Callithrix jacchus: one gene and its partners. The protein of the gene in region 5 interacts with the protein of the main gene of each other region in a pairwise test. Links are inferred from orthologs where the notes say so. Each region holds a gene or a part of one and is shown on either strand. Other genes may lie near its edges.

What was found. The genes of interacting proteins can lie anywhere in the genome.
Region 1: the proteins of CCDC57 (region 5) and PRAM1 interact in binary tests that used the Homo sapiens proteins (3 or more experiments, as listed by UniProt). The two-hybrid records come from large-scale screens. The link is inferred for Callithrix jacchus from reciprocal best matches to the Homo sapiens genes CCDC57 and PRAM1.
Region 2: the proteins of CCDC57 (region 5) and TMEM100 interact in binary tests that used the Homo sapiens proteins (3 or more experiments, as listed by UniProt). The two-hybrid records come from large-scale screens. The link is inferred for Callithrix jacchus from reciprocal best matches to the Homo sapiens genes CCDC57 and TMEM100.
Region 3: the proteins of CCDC57 (region 5) and TSGA10IP interact in binary tests that used the Homo sapiens proteins (3 or more experiments, as listed by UniProt). The two-hybrid records come from large-scale screens. The link is inferred for Callithrix jacchus from reciprocal best matches to the Homo sapiens genes CCDC57 and TSGA10IP.
Region 4: the proteins of CCDC57 (region 5) and SFI1 interact in a two-hybrid assay, tested with the Homo sapiens proteins (2 studies listed by BioGRID). The two-hybrid records come from large-scale screens. The link is inferred for Callithrix jacchus from reciprocal best matches to the Homo sapiens genes CCDC57 and SFI1.

Annotation. Positions count from the first base shown.
Region 1 is NC_133523.1:8,023,587-8,028,230, reverse strand, and holds the start of PRAM1 (PML-RARA-regulated adapter molecule 1), read left to right. Parts: upstream 1-1,629; coding exon 1,630-2,217; intron 2,218-4,644. UniProt on the Homo sapiens protein: May be involved in myeloid differentiation. May be involved in integrin signaling in neutrophils. Binds to PtdIns(4)P.
Region 2 is NC_133506.1:110,543,280-110,548,027, forward strand, and holds the start of TMEM100 (transmembrane protein 100), read left to right. Parts: upstream 1-1,733; 5' UTR 1,734-1,760; intron 1,761-2,862; 5' UTR 2,863-2,954; intron 2,955-4,322; exon of another isoform or gene 4,323-4,452; 5' UTR 4,453-4,563; intron 4,564-4,748. UniProt on the Homo sapiens protein: Plays a role during embryonic arterial endothelium differentiation and vascular morphogenesis through the ACVRL1 receptor-dependent signaling pathway upon stimulation by bone morphogenetic proteins, such as GDF2/BMP9 and BMP10.
Region 3 is NC_133511.1:123,021,733-123,026,422, reverse strand, and holds the start of TSGA10IP (testis-specific protein 10-interacting protein), read right to left. Parts: upstream 3,016-4,690; 5' UTR 3,005-3,015; coding exon 2,849-3,004; intron 1,811-2,848; coding exon 1,674-1,810; intron 1,582-1,673; coding exon 860-1,581; intron 695-859; coding exon 547-694; intron 1-546.
Region 4 is NC_133502.1:201,982,876-201,987,783, reverse strand, and holds the start of SFI1 (protein SFI1 homolog), read right to left. Parts: upstream 3,016-4,908; 5' UTR 2,838-3,015; intron 1-2,837. UniProt on the Homo sapiens protein: Plays a role in the dynamic structure of centrosome-associated contractile fibers via its interaction with CETN2.
Region 5 is NC_133506.1:137,848,280-137,853,060, forward strand, and holds the start of CCDC57 (coiled-coil domain-containing protein 57), read right to left. Parts: upstream 3,238-4,781; 5' UTR 3,193-3,237; intron 1-3,192. UniProt on the Homo sapiens protein: Pleiotropic regulator of centriole duplication, mitosis, and ciliogenesis. Critical interface between centrosome and microtubule-mediated cellular processes. Centriole duplication protein required for recruitment of CEP63, CEP152, and PLK4 to the centrosome.

The DNA of each region.
Region 1 (4,644 bases), on a different chromosome or scaffold from region 5:
TCTCTACTAAATACAAAGAATTAGCTAGGCATGGTGGCTGGCACCTGTAATCCCAGCTCAGGTGAGCCTCGGATTCCCAAAGTGCTGAGATTACAGGCATGAGCCACCGCACCTGGCTTCCTTGGACTTTCCATCCCCCAACGTGTCCACCTCAGGCTCTGAGTCGAAGCCATCCAGGTACAGAAGCCCAGGGCCACATCACCTCAAAGATGGACAGCTCTGGGCTCTAGAGGCCCTTCAGCTACTTCAAGGGACAGGAGGGGATCCTCAGGCCCTTAGAACCGATCTGTCTGCCCCACTGCCCACAGCCTCACCGGGGACCTGAAGACTGCCCTGTCCTTGATGGGGCTGCAGCCTCAGCTCACATGGCTTGGGTTGGGTGTCCACCCTCCCAGCACCCCTGGGCCCCAGCTGAGGTGGTTGTCACTCAGGATGGGGCGGGACATGCCATTGGGAGGCCCCAGTGCTCCAAGGCCACCTAAGCTCCCCCTTAGTCAGAAGCCTTGAAACTACAACTGTGGGACCCTGGAGAAGACTTGACCCCCCTGCCTTCCAATTCCCTCATCCTTAAGGGTGTCATGATGACGAGTGAGCCCTTTGGTGTGGATAGGAGGATGAAAAGCTGACCTTGGGGAGAGGCTTGGGAAATGTCTGCTGAGTACTTCGCATTCCTCTGGTCACCGAGCCCATGGCTGCCTGGGACCCTCTCTACCTGGGGAGGAGGATAGGACTGAGTCAAGGGCCCCCCCCCCTTTTTTTTTTCTTTTTTAGTAGACCGGATCTCACTCTTGCCCAGGCAGGGCTCACTACAACCTCCACCTTCCTGGTTCAAGCGATTATCCTTAGCCTCCCAAGTAGCTGGGACTACAGGCACCCACCACCACTCCTGGCTAATTTTTGTAAATTTAGTAGAGACGGGGTTTCACCATGTTGGCCAGGCTGGTCTCGAACTCCTGACCTTGCGATTCACCCACCTCGGTCTCCCAAAGTTCTAGGATTACAGGCATGAGCCACCATGCCTGGCCCAAAGGGCCCATTTTACTGGTAGAGAAAGTAAGGCTAGGAGGTTCCTAGCCAGCCCCAGTTCCAAGTCAGAGGCACTGATTCTGCACAATCTTGGGAGAAGGGCACAGTTACCATGGGATGAAAAAACCCTGGCAGCAGGTCCAGAGGACACTCCCCTGTTCCCATGCTCTGAAGTTCCCTAGATCTGGCTGTAGTGCAAGCCCCCTCTCCATCTCCAGGGACAGCACTGTGTTCTCTGTCCCCCAGGCCCCTAACCCCTGTCAGGGGCCTGGGGGCCCCCAGGAGTCTTCATTCCCCATCAATTTCCTCATTCGGCCACCCCCAGAACTAAGCCATGCTACTTCCCAGTCTCTGTCACCATCTGTCCAGAGAGATCCAGAGTCAACAAGCACCTCGGTCCAGGGACCTCTCCTCGACCCCATCACCCACGGAGATTGGGCAGCCCTTCCTGTGTGTACAGCGGGTCCACGGCCACCACTCTGCCCTCTGGGGTAAACTGACTCTGCCCCAAGGCCTGGGAAACTAGGTCACCACCTGGCATCTGCCATTCACCTTGTCCACTCCAGAAACTATCTCCCACCCTCAAGCCGGTCCCCAACCCCTATGCGCTGGAGGCCAGTCCTATTGGGCCCCGGCTCCGCCCAGCAAGGGGCGCCCAGGAGAGCCGGGAGTGCAGCGCCGATCGTGGTCCGGTTGGCAGGAAGCCGCCAGCTGGCGCCAAACAGCTCTGAGGCCGGCCAGAGTCCTGTGCACCGCCCGGCATTTGTCCAGCCCCAGCTGTCACCTGCAGGTGCTAGTCCACTCTCGCTCACCGCGGACCGGGAGCCGGAAGATGGAGCACACCCCGCGGCCCTGGCATCCGCCGCCCACGTGCTCCCATCCGCCACCTTGAGCACCCATGTTCCCATTCCCAACCCCGCAAAGTGCCCGAGCCGCGCCCTAACGAACTCCCACTTCCCCCTGGTCCGCGCTGGCTTCTCCGGGATTCCGGAGCTGTCGGTCCCTGTCTGCAGCCGCGCCGCGAGGACCCTTGCCAGGAGCTCCCACGGAGGCGCCAAATACGCAAGCAAGACTGGGGGGAACTCATACCATGACGACCACGCCGGGACCTGCACGTCACCCCCACAGCGCCCCCGCGGGGTCTTGGTGCGAGCGCCCTGGCTGGACCCTCGTAGCTACCAGAGTGCACGGGTAGCGACCGGCGCAGGCACCTGGGGATTCATCAGCTGTCATCCAATCCTTCAATTACCTTGACTGAGCGTCTACTGTATACTCATAGCCAAGAATTGCTTGTTTTTCTTTTCATTATTATTATTTAAAAAAAAAATTTTTTTTTAAGATGGGGTTTCACCATATTGGTCAGGCTGATCTCGAACTCCTGACCTCAGGTAATCCACCCACCTCAGCCTCCCAAAGTGCTGGGATTACAGGCGTGAGCCACTGCGCCCGGCTTTTTTTTTTTTTTTTTTTTAGACGGTGTCTGGCTGTGTCACTCAGGCTGGAGTGCAATGGTGCAATCTCTGCTCACAGCAACCTCCGCCTCCCCGGTTCAAGCGGTTCTCCTGCTTCCCCCTCCCAAGTAGCTGGGATTACAGGCGCACACCATCACGCCCAGTTAATTTTTGTATTTTTAGTAGAGACGAGGTTTCACCATGTCGGCCAGCTGGTAGCAAACTCGTGACCTCAAGTGATCCGCCCGCCTTGGCCTCCCAAAGTGCTGGGATTACAGGCATGAGCCACCATGTTCCCCCTGGCTGACCTTTCTTGAATTTATTTAACTAAATGAGAAGGACCCAGATGGAGCTGGGAGGGAGACTCATTTGTTTTGAGGACTTTGCTCTTCCGCAGGCCCTTCCTGCATCTGCTCTGCTGCAGTGGGATACATGACACGATGAGAAGTGCTCTGCCCATTTGTTTTCAAGCCTCCGTTAAGAGCACAGGCGTCAGGATTCTGCCAAGATGGCGCCATTGCATTCCATCCTGGTGACAGAGCGAGACTCCATCTCAAAGAAAAAGAAAACGACCAGGCTGGGTGACTGGGTGCAGTGGCTCGTTCCTGTAATTCCAGCACTTTGGGAGGCCAAGGCTGTGGATCACCTGATGTCAGGAGTTCAAGACCAGCCTGACCAATATGGTGAAACCCCATCTCTACTAAAAATACAAAAATTGGCTGGGCGTGGTGGCAGGTGCCTGTAATCCCAGCTACTCAAGAGGTTGAGGCAGAAGAATCGTTTGAACCCGGGAGGTGGAGGTTGCAGTGAGCGAAGATTGCACCACTGCAATCCAGCCTGGGTGACAGAGCAAGACTCTATCAAAAAAGAAGAGAGAAAGAAAGGGAGGGAGAGGAGAGGGGAGGAGAAGAGAGGAGAGGAGGAGAAGAGAAGGAAAGGAAAGAAAGCAAGTTCAACCACTTCGTTTCCGAGTCTTTTTTTTTTTTTTTTTTTTAAGAGACAGGGTCTCATTCTGTTGTCCAAGCTGGAGGGCAGTTGTCACAATCATACACTCACTGCAGCGTTCTAATTCCCAGGCTCAATTGATCCTACTACCTCAGCCTCCCTAGTAGCTGGGACTACAGGCACACACCATCCCACCCAGCTCGTGTGTGTGTGTGTGTGTGTGTGTGTGCTAGAAACAGAAGCTCACTATGTTGCCCAGGCTGGTCTGGAATTCCTGGGCTCAAGCGATCACCCATCTTGGCCTCCCAAAATGCCAGGATTACAGTTGTGAGCCACCTTGCCCAGCCTTCTCTTCATTATTCCTGCTCCAAGTGTGGTCCACAGAAGGACAGCATTGGCATCACCTGGGACCTGACTCATCACTTGGGTCAGAACCTGCACATTAACAGCAGCTCGGAGTGACTCAGGGGAACCGGGGATTCTCACCTTAGCTGTGTATGAGAATCACCAGCCTTTTTTTTTTTTTTTTGAGACGGAGTTTCACTCTTGTTACCCAGGCTGGAGTGCAATGGTGCAATCTCGCCTCACCGCAACCTCCGCCTCCTGGGTTCAGGCAATTCTCCTGCCTCAGCCTCCCTAGTAGCTGGGATTACAGGCACATGCAGCCATGCCTAGCTAAGTTTTTGTATTTTTAGTAGAGACGGGGTTTCACCATGTTGACCAGGATGGTCTCAATCTCTTGACCTCATGATCCACCCGCCTTGGCCTCCCAAAGTGCTGGGATTACAGGCTTGAGCCATCGCGCCCGGCCCGCCTTTTTTTTTTTTTTTTTTTTTTTTTTTTAGATGGAGTCTCTCTGTCACCAGATCGGAGTGCAGTGGCGCGATCTCGGATCACTGCAACCTCTGCCTCCCGGGTTCAGCCGATTCTCCTGCCTCAGCCTCCGGAGTAGCTGGGATTACAGGCACCCAGCATCACGCCTGGCTAAATTCTACATTTTTAGTGGAGACGTGGTTTCACCATGTTGGCCAGGCTGATCTCAACCTTCTGGCCTCAAGGGATCTGCCCACCTCGACCTCCCAAAGTGTTAGGATGACAGGCTTGAGCCACTGCGCCCGGCCTTCCATCTCTTTTCTGATTCTTCCTTAGCTCCAAAATTTCTAGGGTTCGGCTGCATTCACTCCTCTGTAGTCGACAGACACCCACTGGGACAACTCCCAAA
Region 2 (4,748 bases), about 27 Mb from region 5:
ATTAGGAATGGATTTGGAGTCACACAATGTTTATGTACATCATTTTATGAACAGAACAAGTGACATTGGTCACCAGAGTCTAGGGGGAGATTTCTCCTGTAAACAGGCATTAAAGGGCTCCAGGCTATCAAGTATAGAAAGGAGTGGCAAAAGGGTGAGGTCATTATGATCTCTTCCCTTCTCCTCCCTGGAAAAAAAAAAGAATTGTGGTTTCCTGCAAGGCCCAGAATACGTGACCCATAGCTCCCTCACTAAGGGAGGCTGACTCTAAGAGTGTGCATTTGTCTTATAAAAGAAAGTGTCAGCCCAATTGGAGATAACTCTCGAACTTTGGGTTTTCTCATCTTTGGCCTCCAAAGAATAATATACATAAATATAAAACTCTATGGAAAATGTATGGCATTGTATCAGAATGACAGGAGTTTCAGTGCATATTCTGATTTTGAGACAAGAAAATCAATTCTGCTCATCTGAGGCCAGAATGACAATTAGTTCTTGTTGAAGTGAGAGATTACTTACTCAGCTCTTTTTTTTTATGTTTATGTGAAATTTCAGTCACTCAGAACAAAATGGGGCAAGAGAATGGGATTGTAATGTGCTTCTAAAAGATATATGTTTCCATTTCTATATTCACATGGATCTTATGAGATTCTCATACTTATAAATTGACCACCAATTAGTAAAATAAATATTTATATCTAAGGCCCATTCATTGTACTTCTTGGTACTATCAGAATTCTCTATTTAATATCCTAGACCTCAAAGAAAAGTGCTTTGGAGGAGCAAAAAAGGAAAGGGGGAATAACAACATGACCTGTTATCCAAAATGAACACATAAGCACAGATCACTTTTCAAAATGTCCATGATTTCAGAACATAAATTCAGACACACCCTTCAAAGAAGCTTTAGAGAGGAGAAAACCTGGCCAGCTTCCCAAATCTCACTGCATCCAATTGGACTGGGTGATGACCAAGATCAAAGGCATGTGGTGATTGGACAGAGGGCCAGGAGGAACTGGCATCCTCAAGGCTGCTGGAAATTAGCCAGCTCAAACATACCAAGCACAAGCAATTGAAAATAAAGACAGGCCAGTAATCGAATACACATGGGGCTACACTTCATGAAATGCAAACTTGACGTGTTCACGAAGGAGACGTTTCCAGGTCTTCAACAGCATATACTCAATAGGAAAATCAAAACATCCCCTTTTGCAACCTGGAGCCTGAGTCTTTGGCTCCCACTTTAGGGAAATGGGCAAAATGACCTCTTTGTCATAGTACCCATCATGCTCCCTGCCCTCCTCCACTTCCAGACCCCTCTCCCCTAAGTAACTTTGTCTCTCCAACACACTTTCCAACCCCATACTCCCTTAGAAACATAGAGCAAAGATGACAAATTCTTTTCTGTAGGTTCTGATTCACAAAGGGAGAGCATTAGAATGGGGGCTTTGGATAGAAAAACCCTTGAAAATAAGTGCCTGAATAAAGATATAAAAAGAGAAAAGTAAAGGAAGATTTTTTTTTCAAACTTGATGCCCTTTAAATATGTATATATGGATTACATTTTCGTGGAGGAAAACAGTAAAATCCAGCAGCATTTAAGGGATTTCCTCTCACCAAATTGTCTCCGGTCCCTTAATTTTGTTTAAGCCTTGCTGAGTACTTTGTTCACGGTCCCTAGTGTGGTGATTTGCATCCCCCTATCTGTGTTGCTGTTTGCAGGGCAGGCAGCTGTCTCAGTCTAACTCTAGCTGGGAAAGGTAAGGATCTTTGTTTTGCTGTTTGAAAGATCTGGGAAGGAAATGTCTAATGCTTAGGTGGGTTAGGGGCATAGATAGAATTCATTCATTGGAGGCTTTAAGAAAAGTTCTCCAAACTTAAAGGAGTCTCCTAAAGCCATGTGCTTTAGAAAGAACTAGAGAGATTTCCTCTTCCTTGTGAAAAGAGAGGGCTTGCAGAAATAAGGCTGGTTGCATTGTGGATGAAATTTTGCATTTGGGGGCAGGTGTCCCTGAAGGGATCCACAGGGGTGTTTCATACATTATAGACAAAGAGTGGAAGGAGGAATAAACATTCAGAGGCAACACGAGATCATGAGGAATTCTCCTTGAATTTCAATTTGAAGAGGTAAAGTCAGTTAAAGCTGCTTGTGTCCATGGTTAGGATAACCACTTTATGCCAAAGCTTTCTACTTCTTTAAATTTAACGTACAAATCATCAGTTCGCTACTCAGAGTCTAGAGATGTGTATCTGCGTATCAAGGCAGGTGCATATACCCTGGAGCACTGGGGTGAATGAGGCACCTGAGCCTGACAAGGCTGAAAAAAGCTTTGGTACTGGAAGTGACTACAGACCAGCCCATGCTCCCAGGGCAAAGATGCACTCCCTGTGCCTCATTATAGACTCAGCAAAGGGCTCACCATGGGAAAAGGTGTCATTGTCCTCTCTCTAGAAGGTCAATTTGTGCACCTGTAGCCTTGGTAACAGGAAAGCATGCTTTTCAACAAAATAAGGTGATATTCAGAGCTTTGGTGCAGTTATTGGGCTATCTTGGGAGGGAAGTAGTACTGGAAAGTAGAGGGGAATTGTGGATAAGAAGACAGCTCTTTTAAGGAGCTTCTCAAGAACCTCCATCTCACCATCTTCCCGGGACAACTTTGGCAAAAAAAGTATTCCTGACCCTCAACACCAAGTTACAGTGCTCCTCACGGATGAAGGCTGTCTCTTTAGGTCTGACATTCTTAAAAGTGTTAGGATCATGGTGACCAAGGCCTTCCAGGTACTTGCCATGACTCCCCCAAGTCTCAGAGACTTTTCAACTTTATGTTTTATAATGACATAACCCTCTGGCTTTCATTCTAGAATAAACAACTCTGGTCCCTCTCCTTTTGTGACAAGTCATCTGGTATTGCTACAAAGCAAGGCTGCGGAGAGTGTGCTGTGCTAGAGGAGAGGTAAGATGTTTGAGAGCATCCAAGCCCTTTGCCAGCAATTAGAAAAATATAACAATTTGTTTTTCTTCTAACAAAGAAGGAAAACAAATCTCTTCCAACAGTTAATTTGGATTTGTGGTTCACAGTATTAATTCGAAGGGGTTATTAACACTTGTGCAGATGAAAAATGAGAATGAAAAACTTTTCATTACAAAGTGTAGGATGAGCTCCCAGTATTACCTTTTCTTCTCAAAAAGACAATCTAGAGCTTTACATATTTCAAGTTTTGAAAAATTGCACAGATTGTCTGTAAGAAAGCATAAACCTATAAAGCCACTTTATAGGTATATGGGGGTGGGAAATAGATGTCTACCTTCATTGTTTGAGTGTATGAGGTGTCAAGTTGTACACGTTTGAATGTTTAAAATACCATGTTCCTTAAAGTGGGCCAAGGAACAGAGATCTCAACTTAGGTAGGGAGCTTGTCACAGACCTACTGAATCAGAATCTGAATTTAGCAATCTCCCCAAGTGGTATATGTAACCATTAAAGATTAAGGTTCAAACCAGGGGTTTCTCTGTTACTGTGTGACCCTTGTCAAACCACTTAACCTCTCTGAGCCTGTTTCCTCATTTATGAACTAGTGAAAATTAATGTTAACGTGTGACATGTCTTAATATTGTGCCATCTCCAGAGTAGGTGCTCTGTAAATGGTAGCAATTATCATGATGGTGATAATCTTAGTACTGATAAAGTTACTGCCTTGGAAAAGCAATAAACAATCATGTTTAAATCAACATGACTGGTTTTTCCCCTTAACCGCAAACATTTTTGCCTCCTACCCTCATTCCTAAATGAATTAACACTGAACAAGTGAGGATTTAACCTTCAGTTGATTATCACGTGCATATAAATAAAGAATAATGGGAAAACCTAGGAACATGGATTTTTGCTGTCTTAGAGACTGAATTCAGCTGCCTGATGAGTTCACAGCTGTTTCTGCTGTCCTGGAGAGTCTGTCCCCTTTGCTCTGTCCCCTCAGCCACGTCTGCAACACTGACTCTGGGATTTTCTTATAAAAATATCTGATGGACTGATGGACGGGAGGAAGATCTGGAGGGCGGCAGGGGAAAAAATGAGTCATTCAAATTCACAAAGCAGACCGCTTAGTAAATACTGCAAGAGAAATAAAAGTAAAAGCTGGCCTTTTTACTTTTTTCTCTGGGGAACCTGTAGAAATGATTTGGAGTTATCATGTCACTGAGTAAAGTTGGGGGAAGCCAAAACTCAGAATCTGCTGGCAAGGAAAAGAACTAAGGAAAAAAAAAGTTAGGGAGGGGCAAACCGGAGGGGGAGGGAATAAAAAGACAGAGGGAGGGAAAGACAAGCGTCATTTAGGAACAGAGGTAGCCTGAAGAAGCAGGAACTCCAGGATCCCAAAAAAAGACCATATAGTAAAGTATTTTCACATCTTTTCTTTTCCCCAGAAGAGACCCCTAACCTGTCATTTTATTGACAGCCGAGCTGTTAGAGGCTCTTTCCCAGAAGTTGGACAAAGAGGCTCAAGCGTTGCTGTTTCTTCCCTTCCAAGTCAAGTTGTTTCTTTGGTAATGGATTGCCTCTCTCGGAGGTGAGTATAAGTAATTTGGGGACAGATATTGATTTTCAGGTTAGCCCAATCTCAGCTTTGGGGTGAAGATAAGTTTTCCAGACATAATCTCAAATATCTTTTAACTGGCCTCGCCAGTAATTAGGGTGTCATTGGACAACAGTGATTAATTAGTTTAGTAATTAAAAATGACATGTGAGTAGGCA
Region 3 (4,690 bases), on a different chromosome or scaffold from region 5:
TGGATGAATGGATGGATGAGTGGGTGGGTGGGTGGATGGATGGATGGGTGGGTGGGTGGATGGGTGGGTGGGCGGATGGATGGATGAGTGAGAGGGTGGATGAATGGATGGATGATGTTTGGATGAATGGATGGATGAGTGGGTGGGTGGGTGGATGGATGGATGAGTGAGAGGGTGGATGAATGGATGGATGGTGTTTAGATGAATGGATGGATGAGTGGGTGGGTGGGTGGATGGATGGATGGATGGTGGGGTGGATGGGTGGATGGATGTATGGATGGGCGGATGGATGGATGGATGGATGGATGGATGTTTGGATGGATGATGTTTGGATGGATGGATGATGGATGGATGGGTGGATGGGTGGATGGATGGTTGGGTGGATGGAGGGATGGATGAGTGGATGAATGGATGGAGAATCCAAAAGTTTGGCGAATGGATAAACAAAGAAATGAATGAGAGTTCAAATGCCTCAGCACGTCTTAGAGAACTGGCTCCATCTCTACTTCTCACTCTTGCCTCCCACTCCCTTCTCTACCCTCTTACCTGGTGGCTTCCTGTCGTTTGTGGAAGGTGCGGTTAGACAGGTTGGCAGACAGGAAGGTTTCATCGCCTCCCAAGGCATAGCCCTTCCCATGACGTTTGGAGGCCTGGAAGGCATCTCTCCGAGCCCTCCAGTGCTGCTTTTGGGGACCTGTCCACAGTGAGATCAAGTCAGGGACTGCCCTCTCTCTCCCAGCCCACCAGGCAATCCCCCCAGCACCCAGGGCACAGCCTAGCCTGCCTGAGCTCCTGCCTCCCTGAGTGCTCTCCCAGTGGTGTTGCTTCGGGGAACCCAGGCTCTGAGCCGCGTGCTCACCACAATCCAGGTCTCTCTGGAGCTGACTGTGCAGCTTCTCCAGGTCCCACGGCTCCTGTAGCTCCTTGGCCCTTGTCTTCCTCCTCCGTGGCCTTTGGAGGTTGTTGTAGCTGGGGGTGCTCCCCTGGCTCTGGCCCTGTTCCCCCTCATCTGAAGCCTCCTCTCCAGAAATCTGCCCCTTTTTCTGAGAACCAGCCCTCCTTCTGTGGGTAGCCCTGTGCTCCCCCTCCTCAGCCTCCTCTGTGGCATCTGAGAATTGCTCCTCCTCTGAGATCGGCTCCCTTCTGGGGCGCTGGGGCAGCTCCACAGAACTCAGACCCTTCTCGGCTTTCTCAGCACCCGGGCCTGGCAGCTGGACCTGCTCGTCGGACACCGATCCTGATCCTGGCCTCCTCCCAGGCAGCTGGAGGTCACACTCACAGTGGGGCTCTGGTCCTTGTCCTCCTTTGCCAGGAAGGATGGAGACACCGCCCCAGGCTCTCAGCCGCTGTCTCACCTTTAGGTTTCGTGTCTCTGTCTTCTGGCAGCAGCCAGGGTTCTCTGGGAGGCTGCCTGTGGACTTGCGCCTGAACTGAGGCTGGGAGAGTGAGGAGGGCAGGGGCAGGACTTGGTGGCTAGAGGCTGGGGAGCTTGGCTGAAGTGCATCCCGGACATCTGTGGCAATGCTTTCCCAGGCCCACTGGAAGGGGAAGGAGGGCTTCCGAGCAGAAGGGGTGAAGAGACTGAAGAAGGAGAGGGTGGGGGTCAGGTTCCACACCAGCCCCCAGAAGGGCCTGACCCCAGCACCCACCTGACCCATCCTACTGCTCCTTACGCCTCAGCCTCTTCAGAACCCTGTCCTTTCTTGCTCTGACCCCTGGGCTTGCGGTCCTTCTTTGCTGTCTGCCTTGAGCTCTGAGACCTCCGTTGCAGGTCCTGATTTGGCACACCGTCACCACTCCCCAGGTGGCCCTGGGCACAGACAGTAGGGGAGGTTAGCTCGGAGCAGCCTTCTGGACTGTGTTGCACCTTGCCTGGGTGCCCTCCTCTTCTGTGCACCTGGCTGGGCCTGACTGGACCCCTCTGGGCCCTTGTTACCATTAAAACCAATGGAACACAGCCGAGCGCGGGGCTCATGCCTGTAATCCCAGCACTTTGAAAGGCGGAGGTGGGCAGATCATCTGAGGCCAGGAGTTCGAGATCAGCCTGGCCAACATGGTGAAACCCCATCTCTACTAAAAATACAAAAAAAAAAAAATTAGCCGGATGTGGTGGCCTGTGCCTGTAATCTCAGCTACTTGGGAGGCTGAGGCAGGAGAATCGCTTGAACCCCGGGAGGCAGAGGCTGCAGGGAGCCGAGGTTGCGCCATTGCACTCCAGCCTGAGCAACAAGGGCAAAACACCATCTCAAAAAAAACAAAACAAAACAAAAGAACTCGACTGAACACCTCCATTCTGCATATTAAAATAGCAACAGCCGCCATCTGCTGAGCACCTACTATGTGCTCAGGACTTTCATACATGAACACACATTACCTTCCCAAGGACCCTAGGAGGCCCCATCATGCGGAGGAGATCACTCCTCTCATGCGGAGGAGAAAGCTGAGGCTCAGAGAGGCTGAGTAACTGAGGTCACACAGCTGGAAAGTGGTGGAGCCCAGATTCGTCACCTTTGCACCAGGCCGCCTCTGGGCCCTGGACTGCACTCCCAAATGTCCCATTGGGCCCTGGACCTGCTACAGCCAAGGCGGAAACCAAGGTGGTCTTCATCAAGGTGGTCTTCATCTTTCTTGAAACCCTGTTCCTCCCGCAGTGTTCCCTAAATTGCCCCATCATCCCTCAGCTTCCCCCAAGGCCTTTAGGGCTCCCTGTGGTCCCTGTCCCGGTCCTGCCCCCTGACTTTCACTGGACCTCAGCTCAGGTATCATGGTTTCTCAAGAGCCTCCCCAGCCCAGGCCTCCCTGACCCAACGCGGCCCTCCTGGAAATGCCCCCACTGGGCCTCCCTCACCTGCTTGTCCCGAGAGATGGTCAACAGCAGCTTGAGCAGCCTAGAGCTGCTCCCCGGAGCCTGAAGCTGTGTGTCCTGCCCTGGTCGCCCCAACGGGGCCCTAACCAACTGTTGGTGGGTATTTAGCATATCGGTGTCCTCCCCATCCTGCCCCATCCCCCACCCCCGCTGTGGAACTGCCCAACAGGCCATCTCTATGGCAACCAGTCCTCAGCCAGTCTCAAGGGGTCAGGACAAAAGTATGCTAGGAGGCGGCAGTGGGGTATGTGAGGCCCATTTCCTTCTGGGGGCAAATTCAGCAGGATGCCCAGGAATGGTTCAGCGCAGAGACCCAGGGCCAGGTCCTGCCTCTGCTCCTGCCTCAGCCACTGGCTCCCCGTGTGACCTGATGTAAGTCCCTGTCCCCACTTCACCTGTGTTTCCCCATCTGTCTGTACAGGGGACCTCAGGACTCGGCCATCTCACAGAGTCCTCACACCCGTGAAGATGCCCAGGCGGTGCCTGAGGCAGGCCCTCTCCATCAGCCTGTCTCCTGCGCTGCCCCCAGACCCAGCTGGGGCCCCGAAGGAACCAAACTGGACTTTCACAAGATTTTATTTAAATCCTCGCACTCCCAGGCTGGGTGCGGTTACTGAGGCCTGTAATCCCAGCATTTTGCAGGGTTGAGGCGGGTGAATCACCTGAGGCCAGGAGTTCAAGACCAGCCTGGCCAAAATGGTGAAATACCATCTTTGACAAAAATGCAAAACAAATTAGCCAGGCCCAGTGTCTCGGGCCTGTAACCCCAGCTACTTGGAAGGCTGAGGCACGAGAATCGCTTGAACCTGGGAGGCAGAGGCTGCAGCAAGCCCAGATTGTGTCACTGCACTCCAGCCAGGGCAACAGAGGAAGACTCTGTTTCAAGAAAAAATAAACAAATCCTTGCACTCCCAGCCCCAGTCAGGAAGTTGAAGGTTGTGTCCAGGAGACAGGGCATATTCATAGGCCATGAGGTTCTGGAAGGAGTTACAACATTTAAATCTCACCTGAGGCCGGGCACAGTGGCTCTTGCCTGTAATCCCAGCACTTTGGGAGGCTGAGGCAGAGGATCACCTGAGGTCAAGACCAGCCTGGCCAACATGGTGAAACCCCATCTCTACTAAAAACACAAAAATTAGCTGGGCATAGTGGCAGGTGCCTGTAATCCCAGCTACTTGGGAGGCTGAGGCACGAGAATCACTTAAACCCAGGAGGTGGAGGTTGCAGTGAGCTGAGACTGCACCATTGCACTCCAGCCTGGGCGAAAGAGTGAGACTCCATCTCAAAAATCAAATAAAAATTTAAAAGGATGAAAAGATCTTACCCCAAACTTCTAAGCAGTGCTAAAATGCCTTGGAATCTTAAGTCCCCATGGGATGCCTGGTGCTGACCGCTGAGGCCTGCAGTACGAGGACATGGTGCTGAGCTGAGGTCCTAGAGATGGACCAGCCGGACTGGAGGCCTGGTGTGGCCTCTCACTAGCTCTGTGACGGGTTCCCCACTCTGCAAAACTGGAATCATGGCCCTAGCTCATAGGTTTGTGCAAGGACTACATGAAACCCCAAACAATGAAATTGGTAAATGTGATTATTACTAACACTAACTGACCACTTTCTTGAGGCTGCAGAGCATAGTGGCTAAGAGCGCAGAGGAAGCGCTTGGGTGCAAATCCCAGCTCCTCCACTTGCCCTGTGCCCTCTTAGTGCCTGTTTTCTCATGGGAAGTAGGGGGCTGGTTATAATCGTATCTACCCTCAAGGTAGTAGTAAGGATTAAATCACTAGGCAGATACAAACAGAACATCCTCATGACTCACGGGAACTTC
Region 4 (4,908 bases), on a different chromosome or scaffold from region 5:
CACCCAGGTACTCAGGAGGCTAAGGCAGGAGGATCACTAGCGCCTACACGTTCAAGGCTGCAATGAGCCATGATCACTACTGCACTCCAGCCTGGAAAACAGAACAAAACCCTATCTCACACACACACACACACACACACACACACAAAAAAAAAAAAAAAAAAAAAACAAGGCCGGGAGCAGTGGCTCAGGCCTGTAATCCCAGCACTTTGGGAGGCTGTGGTGGGTAGATCACATGAGGTCAGGAATTCAAGACCAGCCTGGACAACATGGTAAAACCCTCTCTCTACTAAAAATAAAAAAATTAGCTAAGTGTGGTGGTTGGCACCTATAATCCCAGCTACTCAGCAGGCTGAGGCAGGAAGATCACTAGAACCCAGGAGATGGAGATTGCAGTGAGCCGAGACTGCGCCACTGCACTCCAGCCCAGGCGTCGAGTGAAAAATCTCAAAAAAAAAAAAAAAAAAACAATCGGCCAGGTGTGGTGGCTCACACCTGTAATCCAAGCACTTTGGAGGCTGAGGTGGGCGGATCACCTGAGGTCAGGAGTTCAAGACCAGCCTGAACAACATGGTGAAACCCATCTTTAAAAAACGCAAAACGAAACAAAAACTGGCCCGGTGCGGTGGCTCAAGCCTGTAATCCCAGCACTTTGGGAGGCGGAGGCAGATGGATCAGGAGGTCAAGAGATCGAGGCCATCCTGGTCAACATGGTGAAACCCTGTCTCTACTAAAAATACAAAAAATTAGCTGGGCATGGTGGCACGTGCCTGTAATCCCAGCTACTCAGGAGGCTGAGGCAGGAGAATTGCCTGAACCCAGGAGGCAGAGGTTGTGGTGAGCCGAGATCTCGCCATTGCACTCCAGCCTGGTTAACAAGAACAAAACTCCGTCTCAAAACAAACAAACAAAAACAAACCCTTGCTAGCTTCCAACTTTTCTTTTCTTTTTTTTTAATTGTTGTTGAGACAAGAGTCTTACTGTCACCCAGACTAGAGGGCAGTGGAGCATGTTGGCTCACCACAACCTCCACCTCCTAGGCTCAAGTGATTCTCCTTTTGGGTAGCTGGGACTATAGGCATACACTACCACTCCCGGCTAATTTTTGTATTTTTGGTAGAGACGGGATTTCACCCTGTTGGCCAGGCTGGTGATCCGCCCACCTCAGCCTCCTAAAGTGCTGGGATTACAGGCCTCTGCCCCTGGCCAGCTTCCAACTTTTCTTCTGCAGCTTCCTCATCTCTCCTAGCCCTCATAGAATTGAAGAGAATTAGGGACTTGCTTGAGATTAAGTTTCAGTTTAAGAAAATGTTGCGGGTGGTTTGATCTTCAATTCAGACCACTAAAACTTTCTCCACATCAGCAATAACGCTGTTTAGTTTTCTTTTCTTTTTTTTTTTTTTTTTAAGACGGAGTTTCACTCTTATTATCCAGGCTAGAATGCAACGGCCAGATCTCAGCTCACTGCAACCTCCACCTCCCAGGTTCAAGCAATTCTCCTACCTCAGTCTCCCGATAGCTGGGATTACAGGCATGTGCCACCATGCCTGGCTAATTTTTTGTATTTTTAGTAGAGATGGGATTCCACCATGTTGGCCAGGCTGGTTTCAAACTCCCGACCTCAGGTGATCCACACACCTCGGCTTCCCAAAGTGCTGGGATTACACCCAGGTGAAATCTGTTGGAGCCCTCCTTCCTCCCCTCTCTCTCTACTGAGCCACCGCACCTGGCTGGCTGTTTAACCTTTTTTTTTTTTTTTAAATCACCGGTGTGTTCCCTGGAGTACCACTTTTAATTTCCTTCAACAACTTTTTCTTTGTATTCACACAACCTGGCTGTTCCGAACAAGAGGTCTAGCTTTCAGGTTTTCAGCTTTTGATGTATCTTCACTAAGCTTAGTCATTTCCAGCTTTTGATATAAAGTGAGAGACATGGGACTCTTCCTTTCACTTGAACATTTAGGAGCCACTGTGGGGCTATTAATTGGTCTAATTTCAATATTGTTGCCTCTCAGGCTACAGGGAGGGCAGAGAGGGAGGAGAGAAACAAAACTGGCTGGTAGGTGGAGCAGTCAGACAGAACACTTTAGTTTGCTGTCTTACACCGGTGCGGTTCGTGGCGACCCAAAACAATTCAATAATAGCATCAAAGATCACAGATCATTGTAACGATATACCTAAAATAAGAAGTTTTAAATACAGGAAGAGCGCACATGCTTGGAAAAATAGTTGCTTGGTGCAGGGCTGCTTGCTACAAACTTTTATTTTGTAAAAACTACAATATCCGTGAAGTGCAATATAGTGAGGTATGGCTCTACTCAAGTCCTTCATATCATTCAACAAATACTTACGACACTGTAGTTAAATCTGAACGGCCTCCCACTCGGAGAAGACTTGAAGGTTTGTTTACTGCGTTAGTCCCCGCGCGTTCAGTGGGGCAAGGTCGCCTATACACTAGCCCTTCCGCTCCCGGGCCACACAGCCGGGAAGACGAAACCCCTGATTTGGATCCCTGCACGCTAAGGAGCACCGGCCAGGAGCGCACTAGAAGCCTGGAAGGATGCGGTGCCCCGGGGCGGAGGACAAGTTTAGAAGACACGGCGAGAGAGGATGGCGGGCTCCCGGCCCCATCCTGTGCTCTACTGTCGCGCTTCCTCCATTCCCACACCATAGACCCGCAGATAGGCAGCATCACCTGCACTTCGAGGGGTGGAAGGAGGGCTCCGATAGATTTCACCTGGCCCAGCTCGGAGAAACGCGACAGAGCTCCGTGCCGGGCTCACAGGCGGAGAGGCCGAGCCCCTGAGAGGTTGGGGACGTTTGGGCCAGGTCTCATACCTGAGGAAGCCGAGCCCTCCGGCCTTACGCTGGAAGAAGTCCCGGCAGGAGCCGGCGGTCCGGGACCCGCTTCCTTACTCCCGCGCGACCCACGCCTGCCTCAAGGATTCGCACGCCTCCAGACGCGGGTCTCGCGACGGGCCCGTCCCTTTCTCCACGGCGGTGACGCAGCGCGCACGAGGACCACACCGCCCAGACCCCGGGGTTTGCGCAGCCTCAGTCGGGCAGGTGGCGCACCTCCCTCCGGCCGCTTTCCAGAGGCCACGAGGCGAGTGGATTCCGACCAGCCCCACTAAGAGCTCTTTCCCTTCTTGGCTCGCTGGCTTTGCTGTGAGCTCAGCTTGCTACTGCTCCTCTTAGACGAGAGGAGTGGGAGGTGTTCCGAGGCGGAACCCCGACTTTCGCCGCCAGCGGCCAAGCACTGAGGATAAGGTTCCAGCTGGGAGGCGGCTGTGGACAAAAGTCCCCCTTCCCTCACTTCCGGGCTCGTGCGTGAGCCTCTCGGGCTGTTAGTTCGCGGGGAGTGCAAGCCGGAACCGTGGATTAGGACCCGCCCATGCGTGGACCTGGCCGGTTGCTACAACGTGGACTTGGAGGGGAGAGGTCCCATGGCCCCCGAATTATAAATCCCAGGCTTATCTCTTTTTGTAACTCTTCCTTCTACAATGTAATTAATAAACGCTCCTTTTTGTGAAATTTTTCAACTTGGGCCAATCCTAATAATCTTAAAAATAGGAGTGAGAGGGGTAAGTGGGACGTTTTGCAATACTTTTTTAAGTTCATGTCTTTTATGAACTTAAGAGTTTTGTCTTCCGGTTTGTTGAAGCAGTATGTCAGACAACATTTGCCACAACAATGTCTGTCAAAGTGGCTTGCCATAAACACTCCAGCACCACATTCATCAGAAGGGCACTCTCAACCAAGGCGACTAATTTTGCCATTCTCATCCACCTTATAGTATTTCAGGACAGCCAGCTTAACCTTCTTTCTCTTGTGCTTATTCTTCTTGGAAGTGGTGTAAGACTTCTTCCTTTTCTTAGCACCACCACGAAGTCTCAACACAAGAGGAAGAGTAGACTCCTTTTGAATGTTGTAGTCAAAATACATCCATCTTCCAGTTGCTTGCCAGCAAAGATCAGTCTTTGCTGATCAGGAGGAATTCCTTATCCTGGATCATGGCCTTTACATTTTCTCTTATCCGAGGGTTCGACCTCGAGTGATGGTCTTCCCCCTAAGGGTTTTCACGAAAATCTGCATGTGGGTGGTGGCTCCACCGCAGATGGCAGATCGAAAAGCTGAAATACTTTTTTACTGTGTTTTGTAAAACATTTGAAAGCATGTGAGATTCCTGGTGCAGAGACTAAAAGCTAGCAATAGTCATTTAAATACTTGACTTTATGCTAAAAACATGAGGAAAATTGTTGGGTGTCTTGGGATTAGAATCACGGATAATTTGTATTTTTGCCCTATTTTCTACATGCTAATTTTTGCAATTAAAACATTTTTCATTTATTTATTTTTTGAGATGGATTCTCCTGTCGTCTAGGCTGTAGTGCAGTGGTGCAATCTCAGTTCACTGCCACCTCCACCTCCTGGGTTCAAGCAATTCTCCTGCTTCAACCACCCAGGCTAATTTTTGTATATATTTTTTTGGGGGGAGAGACGGGTTTCACCATGTTGGCCAGGTGTGTCTCCAACTCCTGACCTCAAGTGATCCACCTGCCTCAGCCTCCCTGTAATCCCTCAGCCATGAGCCACCACTCCTGGCCTCAATTAAAACATAATTTGAAAGGAGTTTTACTTTAGCGGACACCAAAGCCAATGTTTTAGGGACAACTTTTATCTGAAGTTAATGTGACCAAGTAGTTTTAAAATAATTTAGCGAGCTTCAAGGTTGTAATTAACAGTGTAACTTATATTTACTGTAAGTTTGGCCTAAGTACTTTTATATAATTATGTAAATTTGTATAAATTACATATTTAAGTCAATAAGCATTCTTTCTAGATAATTTGAGCTAATTTCCGGATGCTTTTTCCCTGTCATGTGCATTTACCATCCTCAGCTTTGGCA
Region 5 (4,781 bases):
TCTAACTCCTCACCTCAAGCAATTTCCTCCCCTCAGCTTCCCAAAGGGCTGTGATTACAGGCACGAAACACTGTACCCAGCCACAGTTTAATATATACAAACACAGATACAGTTATACTGAAATAGATTTATATTTGTATAGTGTATAGAACCTAGCTGTATCCATTAAGAAAGCCCAGAAGAAATGGCATCCATCTGACACTGGGATCTTGATTTCTAAACACCACGTTCTTTTTTTTTTTTTCTTTTTTGACATGGAGTCTCGCTCTGTAGCCCAGGCTGGAGTGCAGTGGTTCGATCTCAGCTCACTGCAACCTCCACCTCCCATGTCCCAGTTCAAGCAATTCTTCTACTTCAGCCTCCCAAGTAGCTGGGATTACAGGCATGAGCTGCCATGCCCAGCTAATTTTTGTATTTTTCAGTAGAAATGAAGTTTCACCATGTTGGCCAGTCTGGTCTTGAACTCCTGATCTCGTGATCCGCCCGCCTCAGCCTGCCAAAGTGCTGGGATTACAGGCATGAGCCACCCTCCCTGGCCAACACCACCTTCTAAACTAAAAGGAACCAGGGCTCCTTGGAGAAATGACTGATTCTGGGATATGTCAGGGCAAGCACAAGACGAGTCTGAATTCGTGCCAGAAAGAAAGACAGTGCTCCAGAAGGTTGGGATGGCTACAGAGAGGCCAACTTGAAGGGGCTCCTAATACCTCAATCTGGACAATGTACATGATAGCAATGAATTAGAATCCATGGAATAAAAAGATATACTAACAAAAATAGGCCGTGCAGGGTGGCTCACACCTGAATTCCCAGCACTGTGGGAGGCCAAGGTGGGTGGATCACTTAAGGTCAGGAGTTCAAGACCAGCCTGGCCAAGATGATGAAATTCCACCTCTACTAAAAACACAAAAATTAGCCAGGCACAGTCGTGGGTGACTGTAATCCTGCCTACTCAGGAGGCTGAGGCAGGAAAATTGCTTGGACCCGGGAGGTGGAGGTTGCAGTGAGCCAAGATCATGCCACTGCACTCCAGCCTTGGGAGAGAGAGCAAGATTCCATCTCAAAAAGAAAAAAAAGATATACTAACTAAAATTAACAACTGAATAGAAAAATGATGAGAAGAGTTGGTTCTTTCTCAGGAGAATCCTAACTAATAAATGTAGGAGTAATGGAAACAGAAAAATCATTTAACAAATGGCACACTAATAGTTATTTTCGGGAAACACTCCTCGGTGCTAAAATTAGTGAGAGGAGTATGGTTAGGAAACATCATCTTGCAGGGCCTGTGGCTCAGGCTGTAATCCCAGCACTTTGGGAGGCTGAGGCGGGCAGATCACTTGAGGTCAGCAGTTCAAGACTAGCCTGACCAACATGGTGAAACCCTGTCTTTACTAAAAATACAGAAAAAAAAAATTAGCTGGGTATGATGGCAGGCGCCAGTAATCCCACCTGCTCAGGAGGCTGAGGCAGAATCACTTGAACCCAGGAGATGGAGGTTGCAGTGAGCCAAGATTGAGACACTGAACTCCAGCCTGGTGACTGAGAGAGACTCTGTCTCAAAAAAAAAAAAAAAAAGAAAAAGAAAAGAAAAAGAAACAAGATCTTTACAAAGTCGCAAAATATTTCCCCACAGATACTTATTATTTACAAAGGGAAGGACCCTAACTTTATGGATACACTCGGCAGACATCACCTCAGCCACAGGGACATGACTAGCACCAACAGCCATGGCTACCCTGTGTCTTCTGAGACACTGGGAAGGACACAATTGCCCTTTTGAAGTTTTCTTGCCAAAAATGCATAATATAAAATCAATAACGAGAAAACATCAGAGAAACCCAAACCGGGGGGCATTTTACAAAACAGCAGACTCATCATTGGACCCTAGACCACAGTAAAGTCATCCATGAGTTAGCTGCTAAGTGAGAATAAATCCTTGTGGGAAGTAAAAATTTCCTTTTTAAATTTCCTGTCTTGGTAAAGAATAAGTGTGCCAACAACTTTGTCAAGCCCTATCCCATGTAGCTGTTAGACATGCCGTGCTTACAAGCATGTAGTACATTCAATGTCCCTGTACTTTAACCAAGATATCTGTGCTGGAGATGCTCACAGGCATGTCCCAGCTTTTACCCGTTTAGAAAAGTTTTAAGTTGTTAGCCAATTGGGCTTTAGTTTAGATCGTGAGGTCTGGCTCCAGCCAATGGAGATCAGACACAGGAGTAAGGACAACCCCAAATGCGTAACGAATACATTTGTGTGCATTCCTTTATTCACTGTACTCTGCAGACAACATGGTTAGTGAGGGTGCCCTTCCTGCAGTCCAGGAAGTAAAAACTGCATTGCTGAATGATCTTTTGTCTCAGTGCTAATTTTTCTTTGCAGCACCGAGCATCTATTTCCAACAATCCTGGAGAGCAGATAGTGGCATTATATTAACATGAACGCCAACATCTGCATGTTGCTGAATGAACTGTGGTTCTGTTCTGTAAGAGGTCAGCATCCTAGGGGCTCTGGGCAAAAGGCACAGGGGAAATCTTTGTACTCCTTTTGTATACTTTTTCTAAATTGCATATAAGTTTTTTTTTTTGAGACGGAGTTTCGCTCTCGTCGCCCAGGCTGAAGTGCAATGGCGCGCGCTCCGCTCACTGCAGCCTCCACCCCCCAGGTTCAAGAGATTCTCCTGCCTCAGCCTCCCGAGTAGCTGGAACAGCGGGCGCGTGCCACTACCCCCAGCTTTTGTAGTTTTAGTAGAGACGGCATTTTGCCATATTGGCCAAGATGGTCTCGAACTCCTGGCCTCAAGCAATCTGCCCGCCTCGACCTCCCAAAGCGCTGGGGTTATAGGCGCGACCTACCGCGCCCGGCCTATTTTATTTTTTTAACTCATACTCAGTGAGGCTGACTGGGAGCGGAGCCGTCCTTGCCGACGGCGGAACCGGCGAACTCTCCCGTGGCCCCGGTCGGTAGCACCCACCGCCCCAGGTCGCCCATGGGCGACCGAGGAAACGCGCCCGCCCCGCCGCAGCCTCCGCGAGGGGCTCTCCGGTCCCGGCCCGGCCGGGCTCTGAGGGTTGACCTCGCGCTCGGGGTCCCCACCAGAGCGCTGCGTCCTACTCTGTGGAAAATGCAAGTCCCGGCATTTTCCACAGAAAAGTGGTCTGAGCTGCGCCTCCCGAGCCGCCCGCGCCTCACCGGAACGCGCTTCCGCAGCACTGCCCGGTCCCGCCGCGTTGCCACAGCGACCGCGTCCGTCGGCCGTGTCTGGCTGCGCTCGGTGCAGCGCTCGGGTCCCGCCGGCAGGAAACGGGATCCCTGGCGCTGGGTTCCGGCGCCTCCTGCGCCGCCAGGTTTCGCGCTGCGCGAGCCCGAGAGAGGCCACGAGGCCTGCCGCGGATCGAAGAGTGAGCCCGGCCTCTGATCAGCGGAGCGACCCCGGATGGGGCTCCGGGCTGAGCCGCGCGAGGCGCCCCCACCTTCGCCGCCCCCGGCCAGGCTGAGGGCCCCAGGCGCCCGCTCCCGAAGGGTTGACCTGAGCCTTCGCCCCGGGACCAGGGAGCACGAGGGCGGGCGGGGCCTCCACGGGCCGGCGTCGTCCTCGGGGCAGGGGGCGCCGCGCCCAGAACCGGGATGTCACGAGTTCCCGGGGCTGCCCACGGGCTTGGAGACCCCGATGAGGGAACTGGGGAAAGGAGGGGGTCGGGACAGAAGGAGACCCAGAGACGCCCCCGCCGTCCTGTGGGAACAGTATCCTCAGGCTCAGCCATTCCCAACCATTCCTCAAAAAAAGGCATCTAGATGTTCTTATCCATCTGCGAGGGATGAACTGAGGCCGGCCCGGGACAGGGCAGCCTGGTTCACAGAACCTTCAGCCACCACTAATGCGTGGAGTGGACGGGGTATCTGGGGTCTGGGAGTTCCCCTGGTGGGGCAGTCAGCCAGGGGTCTGGTGTCATCCCCCACCCGCGTTGTTACCCGGGATCACTCCTCTTTGTGCCTGCAGCCAGGCACCCTGCAGCCTTCCTCCCACCCACGCCCGGGACAATGCTGGAGGAGCCTAGGACTCGGGCGCTGGTGGCTGACCTCACCATGGGAGCCCCCAAAAGCTGTTTGCCTGAGGCCTCCAGGCCTCTTTCGGGGTCCTAAAAACCCAGGGACCCAGGACAAGAGGTGTGAGGGGACCCCGCCTGGATGGGCCAGAGCAAGCCACTTCCCCTCAGGTTTGGGGAATGCCGGCGTCAGGCTTGCAGAGGCAACTTCTCCATCTGCCTGGTTCCCAAGCTCTTCGGCAGTAGAGGAGCCAAGAAATGAAAGGGGCTGGTGCCTGTGGGCATGCTCTGCTCCTGGGCCCCGTGTCCAGTTGTTCCAGGAGGAGGGGAGTAGGCAGTGACTCCTGGCCTGGGTCCTGGGGAAAGGAGGGTACGGATGGGAGTTCAGTGGGAGACGTCCGCCATGCACTCCATGTGCCAGACAGCTTGTCCCCAGAAGCTAGGGCTGCCCTGCAACAGGGTACTGGCCGTGTTGGCTGAGGGCTGGGGGCAGGGAGGATCCTCTGGACAGGATGACCCTCCAGGAAGAGACCAGCAAGACTGGCACTGTCCAGGTGGGACCATGAGCCAGACGGCGGCAGACATGCCCCAAAGCCACTGCTACTGTAGCCGCTTCCCAGAAGTCAAGGCCTGGAGGCAGGGCCAGTGTTGCCAGGGATCCCAGTATGAACACAGGCAGGACCAGGGGATACTCCCTCAAGGCTAGTGTGGAACAGGTCGTGCCCCCCAGCAGGT